Cricetulus griseus: one gene and its partner. The protein of the gene in region 1 binds, or shares a complex with, the protein of each later gene. Links are inferred from orthologs where the notes say so. Each region holds a gene or a part of one and is shown on either strand. Other genes may lie near its edges.

Evidence for each region.
Region 2: the proteins of Amhr2 (region 1) and Amh are in contact, whole or in part, in a crystal structure (PDB 7L0J), measured with the Homo sapiens proteins. The link is inferred for Cricetulus griseus from reciprocal best matches to the Homo sapiens genes AMHR2 and AMH. Residues at the interface, in NP_065434.1 of Homo sapiens: Gly31, Val32, Arg33, Gly34, Ser35, Thr36, Thr38, Leu39, Phe62, Ile64, Glu75, Met76, Arg80, Asp81, Ser82, Glu84, Pro85, Ser95, Arg97, Ala98, Pro100, Ser101, Leu106, Thr108; in NP_000470.3 of Homo sapiens: Leu471, Arg472, Glu474, Val477, Leu478, Ile479, Pro480, Glu481, Thr482, Tyr483, Gln484, Lys534, Leu535, Ile537, Leu539, Glu542, Arg543, Ile544, Ser545, Ala546.

The regions. Positions count from the first base shown.
Region 1 is NC_048595.1:398,821,459-398,826,056, forward strand, and holds the start of Amhr2 (anti-Muellerian hormone type-2 receptor), read left to right. Parts: upstream 1-1,737; coding exon 1,738-1,786; exon of another isoform or gene 1,787-2,079; coding exon 2,080-2,262; intron 2,263-2,479; coding exon 2,480-2,671; intron 2,672-2,918; coding exon 2,919-2,990; intron 2,991-3,192; coding exon 3,193-3,305; intron 3,306-3,419; coding exon 3,420-3,650; intron 3,651-4,598. UniProt on the Homo sapiens protein: On ligand binding, forms a receptor complex consisting of two type II and two type I transmembrane serine/threonine kinases.
Region 2 is NC_048598.1:101,586,279-101,590,722, reverse strand, and holds Amh (muellerian-inhibiting factor), read right to left. Parts: upstream 2,947-4,444; 5' UTR 2,762-2,946; coding exon 2,350-2,761; intron 1,992-2,349; coding exon 1,849-1,991; intron 1,668-1,848; coding exon 1,559-1,667; intron 1,473-1,558; coding exon 1,313-1,472; intron 1,203-1,312; coding exon 353-1,202; 3' UTR 278-352; downstream 1-277. Other genes in the region: Sf3a2 (splicing factor 3A subunit 2), read right to left, coding at 3,203-4,045, 4,129-4,197, 4,289-4,429. UniProt on the Homo sapiens protein: Plays an important role in several reproductive functions. Induces Muellerian duct regression during male fetal sexual differentiation. Also plays a role in Leydig cell differentiation and function.

The DNA of each region.
Region 1 (4,598 bases):
CCCTCCCCGACATCTGAACAGTGCGGAAAAATGAAGGGGTGGTTGTGAAGAAGGTCAGTCAGCCTCATCGCTGGTACCTTGAGAATGACTCTTGTGATCAAATCAGGTGTTGGAGGGAGGAGATTCTGCTCTCTGCAAGGGGCTTTTCGGGCTTTATCAAGATGTTGGTGAGAGCCCAGAAGTCTCTGGTAGGACACAATATGATGATGGACCTACTGCATCTCCTTGAGAAGTTCTTCAAACCTCTTCCAGAAAGCTACGATGAGTTTAAGCAGAACATCCACAGCCTATTTCCTGTCATCATCGACACCAAGAATGTGACAGAAGACATCTGGAAGGAAATGCATTTCCTACAAGCCTCCAACCTCTCAGAAGTAAGTGTATGATGTGCTGAGCAGTGACTTGAATGCCACTAACAATTCTGGACCAGAGATTATCCATGCAAGCGAGTGTGAGAAATATGCTGAGACCAAGTGCCCCCATGAAGCCGGATACAATGCCTTCCTCTGCGGGTCAGTTCTCTTGAAAGTAGCACACTTGCTCCTGGAGAGGGTGCATGGTGATGGTTCTGTGGACGAGCTCACCTCACATACCTGGATGTGCTGGAGCACTATGTGAACCAAGTGAATCTTATCAGAGCTGGGGTTCCTAAAATTAATCTTTCTGGCCCAGATTACCCCAGTATCTGGCCTCCTGCACTCATCCTCACCGTCAAGAGGGCCTGGGGTCACCGAGCATCAGGTCTACTGTGAGTTCCAATATCTTTGCAGGTTGGATGTCAGGCGGTTCACCCCAAACCAGTTTCTGCTCCTGACCAATAAGTTTAAGGATGCCTGTAGTGTCTTGAAGGAGTACAGGAGCCACCCAACCCTGCAGGTCTCCCTATACTGCTACTGGAAACATTCCTCCAACATCACCTGCCTGTTAAAAGTCTGCAGCATCATCACCACCTGGGCCGTAGTTGCATTTGTCCTGGGCAGATCCAGCCCCAGAGTACATTGATCCTCGACTACTGCGGGAGCTTCCCGGGATGGCCCTCATGACTTGTCTGTATAAACAAGTTTGTTTTCAGGAAAAAAAAAAATATATATATATATATAAAAGAGTGTCTAGTACTTTTGACCCATTGCACCATCTCACCAGTCCTACAGTGTGATTTTGTTGTTGTTTTGATTTTTGAGACAGGGTTTCTCTGTGAAAGCCTCTGCCTCCTGCCTATTTTTTTTTTTTTTTAGATCTGAAAATTTTCATATTCATTCTGATTCGAGTTTGGAAAGTGAGAACTACTGTAATATGGACTGTGAGTCTTCTTCTATTCAGAATGCTACGTATCCAGTCTCTCAATAGTGGGTTAGGAAGGGTCTTGGGCAGAACTGAGTGGCTCCAAACATTTGACATCTTCCTGGGAAAGGCTGAAGGTCCAGCACCTTCTCCCAAGGTCAGTGATGAGTAGAGATTTTGAAGTTATCACAGGGTTCTCAGCCAGGCAGCCAAGGTCCCTTCCTCCCACTCTACAGAGAAAAGAGGAGGTGGTTGAAGAAAGGATATGAGATTGGTTCTCTGCTCCTCCCTTTCTCTCCCTGTTTTCTCCCCCACAGCTGCCTTCTCCCCCACAGAAACTGGGATAGGACAGAGGGGGGCGGAGTTTGGAAGCCCTACAGTGCCCTGTATCAGTAGGAATCCTTGGATGGAGTAGCTGTGCTGGTTTGTGCTGTCCAGCTGCCATCCTTTAGCAGGATGCTGGGGACACTGGGGCTTTGGACATTGCTTCCTGCAGTTGCACAAGGTAAGTGTCTACAGATACAGGCAGGGTCTTAACACAATCCAATAAGGGGAAAGGTATACTTGAAGCAGCAGCTACCCCTTTGGAAGAGGAAGAGGTCAGTGGGCTGGGTGAGTAAAGATGAAGGGCAGAGCCACTTGTTCCCATGGGGGATCAGGCCTCAGGCCTCTGCTGACTGTTTCCTTGTGCCTCTGCCATCCTGACCCTGGGCTCCTATTTTGTTTATCCTTTTGGCTGCTGTTTGTCCCCTGACTTTACTCCCTTCTTGACTCCCCTTTCTTCACCTTTGATTTCAGTAACCCCAAACAGTAGGACCTGTGTGTTCTTTGAGGCTCCTGGAGTACGAGGAAGCGCAAAGACACTGGGGGAAGTGCTAGATGAAAGACCAGGACCCCCTAAGAGTATCCGCTGCCTCTACAGCCATTGCTGCTTTGGCATCTGGAACCTGACCCATGGACGGGCACGTGTGGAGATGCAAGGTGAATGGCAAAATATATGGTGGGTGAGAGCTAGGGTAGAGGAGAGGCATGTCCAAGTTGAGGGAGGCAGCCAAGAGGAAAGGGAGAAGCGGAGTGTGTAGATGGGAGAAAAGCATGTCGGAGGGATGCCTTTGATAGAGAAGGGATGTGCTTTCTGCCTCCCAACATCATTGTACTCTCTCTCCTTTTCCTCCGTCCCCCAATCCCATCCCACCAGGATGCCGAGACAGTGATGAGCCAGGCTGTGAGTCCCTCCACTGTGACCCAGTCCCCCGAGCCCACCCAAGCCCCATCTCCACTCTCCTCACATGTTCTTGTGGCAGTGACTTCTGCAATGCCAATTACAGCCATCTGCCTCCTTCAGGGAACCAAGGGGCGCCTGGCCCCCAGGATCCCCAGCCTACCACAGGTAGTTGCCTTCCCTAGGGTACTAAGCTCAGAAAGGGTAGGAGCATAGGTCAGGATGAGAACCAGGGCCAGTTCTCAGCCCACTCCCACCCAAAGTTTCCCTCCTCCTGGCCTTGGGAAGTTGGTTGCCCTGGCGACTGGGAGATAAGGGGGCTTGTGACCAGCATGGGGGTGGTTTGGAAAGCAATCTCTTTGAAGAGGGGAGAGGTTCAGTGCTCACCCACGTGTCTTCTTGCCTTGCTGTCCAGGTGGGCCCATCTGGATGGCACTGCTGCTGCTGGGAATGTTCCTCGTGCTGCTACTGGGCAGCATCATCTTGGGTACTAATCTCTCCCACCCCTCCCTTGTGATAGCAAGGCTCTTCCCCAAAGCTCCAAGCCTTCTTCAGGCTCTGCAGACGCCCCCCACCACCAGTTTTGGGATCTCTGTAACCCATTTCATTGTATGAAGCTCTCTTCCCACATAGCCTCCTTGGCTGCCTCCATCCTGTGCACCCTACCCTAAGGCTCTTCTCTGCTTCAGCCCTGCTACAACGAAAGACCTGTGCAGTGAACGGTGGGTCAGACCCGGAGCCAGTCTCAGGCGGAGACTGCAGTGAGGAATTGCCAGAGCTGAATGAGCTGTGCTTCTCCCAGGTGCTTCATAAAAGGAGGGTGGGTTTCTCTGGTACTCTTGGAGGTTCTGCTGGGGAGGAAGCCTGGTTCTGATGCTAGCTCAGAGGTCCGCACTCAGTGCAGTGTTTCCACCAGGTAATCCAAGAAGGAGGTCACGCAGTCGTGTGGGCCGGGAGGCTACAGGGTGAGATGGTAGCCATCAAGGCCTTCCCCCCAAGGGCTGTGGCCCAGTTCCGAGCTGAGAGAGCTGTGTACCAGTTGCCAGGCCTACAGCACAACCACATTGTACGCTTTATCACTGCTGGCCAGGGGGGTCCTGGCCCCCTGCCCTCTGGGCCTTTACTGGTACTGGAACTGTACCCTAAGGTGAGCACCAAGAAATGTCGGTAATGTGCACTATGCCTATTTTTGTGCTCATGGAAGTGAGGTGCTTCGTGCCTTCCTTAGGACACTGTTGGGTTTTTTGTTGTTTGTTGTTTTGTTTTTCGAGACAGGGTTTCTCTATATTGCTTTGGAGCCTGTCCTGTGTGCCACCACTGCCCAGCTAGAAATGAGCCACTGTTAAATATGAGCCACTGGATAAATAATATCCAACCACAGCTGTCCAACTCATTCATGTGTTTATTTAACCAATATTTATAAACAATATGGCAGGCTGGAGAGATGGCTCAGTGGTTAAGAGCACTGTCTGCTCTTCCAGAGGACCTGGGTTCAATTCCCAGAATCCATGTGGCAGCTCACACCTGTCTGTTACTCCAGTTCCAGGATTTCTTACACCCTTACACAGACATACATGCAGGCAAAACACCAATAAAAATAAATATAAACTTCTTAAAAAAAAAAAAAAGCCAGGTGGTAACGGCACATGCCTTTAATCCCAGCACTCGGGAGGCAGAGTCAGAAGGATCTCTGTGAGTTCGAGACCAGCCTGGTCTACAGAGTGAATTCCAGGACAGCCTCCAAAGCTACAGAGAAACGCTGTCTCGAAAAACAAACAGAAAGATTTGCCCTGAGGGATGGTGAGATGGCTCAGCTATGATGCTTGCTGTGCAAGCCTTGGGGATCTGAGTTCAGTCCCCAGAACCCAAGCAAAAATAGAAAGAGAGAACTGCACAAAGTTGTTCTCTGACCCCCACACACGCACTATAGCATGTGCTCCCAAAGACTCCCCCTTTCTATAATAATAAATTTCAAAAAATTATGTGTATAAGAGGCAGATGGATCTCTGTGAGTTTGAGACCAGTCTGGTCTACAGAGTGAGTTCCAGGACAGCCAGGACTACACAGAGAAACCTGACTCAAAAAACAAACAAAA
Region 2 (4,444 bases), on another chromosome or scaffold:
GCTATTTCTCTAGCCCCCCCGCCCTTGAGGCAGAGTCTCTTTATTTAGCTTTGGAGGTCTGCCAGTTCTACAGAGCGAGTTCATGACAGCATGGGCTACACAGAGAAACCCTGTCTCAAAAAAGGAATCGTGATGGGGACAGAGAGCTTCCTCACTGGGGTGTGTGTGTGTGTGTGTGTGTGTGTGTGTGTGAGAGAGAGAGAGAGAGAGAGAGAGAGAGAGAGAGAGAGAGAGAGTGTGCACAGGTCTTGCACTTGAGAAGGGAGGTGACAGGAGGTCCCTTCACCCGCAGACACCCCAGCTGAGTGTTTGCTGATCTTTATTGGAGAACTGACTGGAGGCAAGGCGAGCGTCACCGGCAGCCACACTCAGTGGCCACCATATTGGGCACATGGTGCGCGCTGATGCGCTCCTCGGACAGGCTGATGAGCAGCTTGCCAGCATAGGCAGTGGGCACACAGCAGGGCAGGCGCCCCAGAGCGGCCCCGCGAGCCTGCATCTTCAGCAGGAGCACCACGTGGTTCCCATACCGAGGGTTGCGGTCGGACTGTGGCCACGTGCAGGCGCCTTGGCAGTTGTTGGCCTGGTAGGTCTCGGGGATGAGCACGGACCGCTCTGCGCGCAAGTCTACGCTCAGCTCACGCAGTGCGCATGGCCCCTCTGTCCCTGTCCCTGCGCTGCGCCCCGCCCTCCCGCGCCCTTCCCGCCCACGCCACTCTGCACGCAGGCCCTGCAGCGCCTTCAGCAGCAGCAGCGCGCGCAACGGGTCCCCGGGGCTGTGGGTGTCGTTGGGGCACAGTGCCAGTAGGCGCGATAGCAGCGGGGGCGCAGCGGGTGGCAGGCCCGGGAGGCCCCGCAGCTCTGAGGCAGCTGCCTGCAGCTCCACGGACACCCTGCGTGCCAGGCCGGCTGCCCACGGAGCAGAGGCAGGGTCCTGCAGCGGGGTGGGTTCCCCCATGGTGGCCGCAGCGGGAGACAACAGCAGGAGCAGTGGTTCCTCCCCATCGAGCAGGCGTTCCAGTGCAGTGGGGTCTGACAGGTTGACAAGGCCCTGTGGGAAGCTGGCCAGCGCCCCAGGGTCCAGGGCCAGATGTGTATGTGAGGCCCGGGTCGGGGGTCCCCGTAGGGCACGTACCAAGCGAGTGAGGGTCTCTAGGAAGGGATCAGTGCTGTGTGGCAGCTCCTCTGGCTCCAGGGACAGCCTGGAATAGAAGGAACGCAGTGGGCCAGCCGTGAGCACAAGAGGGTGTGGCGGATACATCCCTCTTCCGCCCTCTTCCCAGTGCATTCCCTGCTCCAGCCCTGTGCATACCTGAGTGGCGGGAAGGGCATGGTGTCCAGCTGGCCATGCGCTGGCTGCAGTGATGGTGGGACGGGTGGCAGCAACAGCAGGGTTGGGGTCATGCGTGTGAAACAGCGAGAGTCAGAGCCGAACAGAAAGGCCTGCAACTGGGTGATGCTCAGGGCGGCACCTGCGGAGGGTGGGCACGAGGCTGGCTGAGGGCCAGGGCTAAGGGCAGCCTCTTTGCACACACTCCTCACTTCCTCCTGTTCCTACCTTCTCTGAGTGGCTGAAGGGTTAGGGCGAGGCCGGGGCCGCTCCAGGCCCCCGCTGGAGAGTCCACAGCCAGCACCAAATACCGGGTGTCTCGAGTAGGGCAGAGGTTCTGTGGATACCGGGGCTCAGCTGGACTGACCAGGATGGCCAGGCTACCAGGCAGCACCCTCCCATACTGGGAGAAGACTCCCAGAGACACTCTTGACCCTAGGGACCCTTCTGTTAGGCAGATCTTTATACACCCCAACCAGATGGCTGTTCAGGGATGGCCCCATGCCACTCTCAGGTACCTGTGTGCCCTGCAGTCCAGCCCCTGTGACTGTGACCTGGGGGCCAGGTCCAGGGTATAGCACCAGCAAGGCCTGCTCCCAGCTGCTGTCTCCCCCATGTGGAGGCTCTTGGAACTTCAGTAAGAGCGTGGGCTCCCATTTCACTATGGAACGAATATTGGTGACAAGTCAGTCTGTGGACACTAGTTTCCATCCCTCAAGACCTGTCTGTCCTACAGGTTTCCTCAGCTGGAACCTAACTGGGGTGTATAAAGATCTCCTGAGGCCATGCAGGCCTGAAGGACCCTGATCCAAGGTGTGAGGTGAGGACCTTGCTTCCCTGTCAGGGAAGGAGTGATGACTGGCATTCTGTCCACTGCAGCTCACCCACAAGTGTACAAGGCTCTGCCTTGCAGCCAAGCAACAGGATTTCTCACAGCCTCTCCCCAGACCTTGGGAGGAGCCTCGGGTAGTAGTAAGAGGCCCAAGACACAGGGGGGCTGAACAGGGTCCATCACGTACCTTCAGCCAGATGCAAGACCAGCAACTGCTGCCCCCCAGTCTCCCCCAGCCAGGCCCCAAGGCGCTGCAGGGCTGGCAGGATAGCCTGGGAGTCAGGACTGCAGACTCCGAAGGTGGCCAGGTCTTGGGGTCCCCAGTGAGACTCCTGTACAGCCTCCAGGAAGGAATGCTCATAACTGTCCAGGCCCCCTACCACCCTTAGCGGGGCTCTGCTTGTGTTCCTCAAGCCTCTCAGTGTCACCAGGCACAAGGGCTCTGGGGGACTGCTGAGAGGCCAGATCCCATCTTCAAAGAAGATGAGGCCCCTGGTGCTGGTGGCTCTTTTGAGGTCTTCTTTGAGGGTCTTGGCCTGTAACACAGTGCCCATGGTCACCAGCAGCAGCACTAGTGGAGAGAGGGGTGGTCCCTGCATGGTAGAGCAACAAGGGCTGGGAGGCCCTGCTTATATGTTTGGCTGAGCCAGAGTGCTTGGGAGGGACACCCCTATCAACTCCGGAGGTGGAGGTGACCTTGGGGGACAGTGCCTGGTGCCCTGTGTGCACAGCAGGTGGGAGGTGGCTTTCTCAAAGGGTTTTCTGTCCTCACAGCCAGGCCCACAACTGCAGAGGCTAGAACTGTCCTTGGGTAGTTCCCATCTGCCTAGGGAGTCCACCTGGAGGACTCACAGGTCATCATGCCTTCAATGAAGGCACACAGCACCCGCCCATACCCCCCACCACAGACACACACTGCAGACAGGGAGACATGGGGGAGGCTGTTTAATGGGCTCAGGACAGGACAAAACAGAAAACTTTTCCAAGGACTGGCCAGGAAAAGGCCACACACAGGCAGCAAGGGATGCTGGGGCCAGTGTTCAGTTGCCTGGGGGAGGAGGAGGCATGCTCCCAGGGCCATCTGATGGGAGTGGGGGCCTTAGCATGGGGGGCATAGGAGCTGGGTGCACACCAGGATTTGAGGGGTGAACCCCTGGAGGCTGAGGGTGGACCACAGGGGTGGCAGGATGGACCCCAGGAGGAGGCTGGGGATGCACCCCAGGAGCCTGAGGGTGGATACCAGGAGCTGGGGGGTGCACCCCAGGGGCCTGAGGGTGAACTGCAGGAGTAGGTGGATGTACTCCTGGAGCCTGAGGATGAACTCCAGCTGATGGGGGAGGGTGGACCCCTGGAGCTGGTGGGTGCACACCTGGAGCTGGTGGGTGCACACCTGGAGCTGGTGGGTGCACACCTGGGGCTGGTGGGTGCACTCCAGGGGCTGGTGGGTGCACCCCAGGGGCTGGAGGGTGCACCCCAGGGGCTGGTGGGTGCACTCCAGGGGCTGGTGGGTGCACCCCAGGGGCTGGTGGGTGCACCCCAGATGTTTGTGGGTGTACCCCAGGGGCTGAGGGGTGTACCCCAGGGGCTGGAGGATGGACCCCAGATGTGGGTGGATGGACTACTGGGGCTGGTGGATGGACCCCAGGAGCTGGTGGAGGCATCTGGGGAGGTCCAGGGGGCCCAGCGGGAGTAGGCCCTGTGGGGGGCATAGGGGGCAAAGGCAGGCCACCAGGCGGAGGTGGGGGCAAGGCATCCGGCAGTGGAGGGCGAGGAGGCAGGCCATTCATGAGTGGGGGTGGGGGCCGCTTGACGCCTGGGGGTCCAGCTGGGAGACTGGGTGGGGCCGGTGGCTTTTCCATTTTAAAGTGGAACTGAAGAAAAAACTGCAGGGGAGGAGGGTCAGAGGCTGGAGGAGCAGGGGGGGTGGGGGTAGGGGAGTACCCAGGCAAGTCTTGCCACACCTTACCTGCTTGGTCTCTCGGTTCCAGTGGGTCCAGAATTTGCCCTCAGCCTTGTCAATCTCCCGGCTTGGCACCTGGGGGAGGGAAGCAGAGGCTGCACCCTGGGACCAATACAAACAGACAAACCTGAATTTATCTTTCTCCTCCAGTCCTCAGGGTCACTACCTTGAAGGCAATGGTCTCATAGGGCTCAGCAGCCATGAGTAGGTACTGCCAGCGGCGGTCTGGGGGCTCTATCCTCTGCTCATAGGCAGACATGAAGCGGTGGCGTGGCATGATGCCCTCAGCAATCTCAGGATAGTCAATCTGGGGGACGAGCAC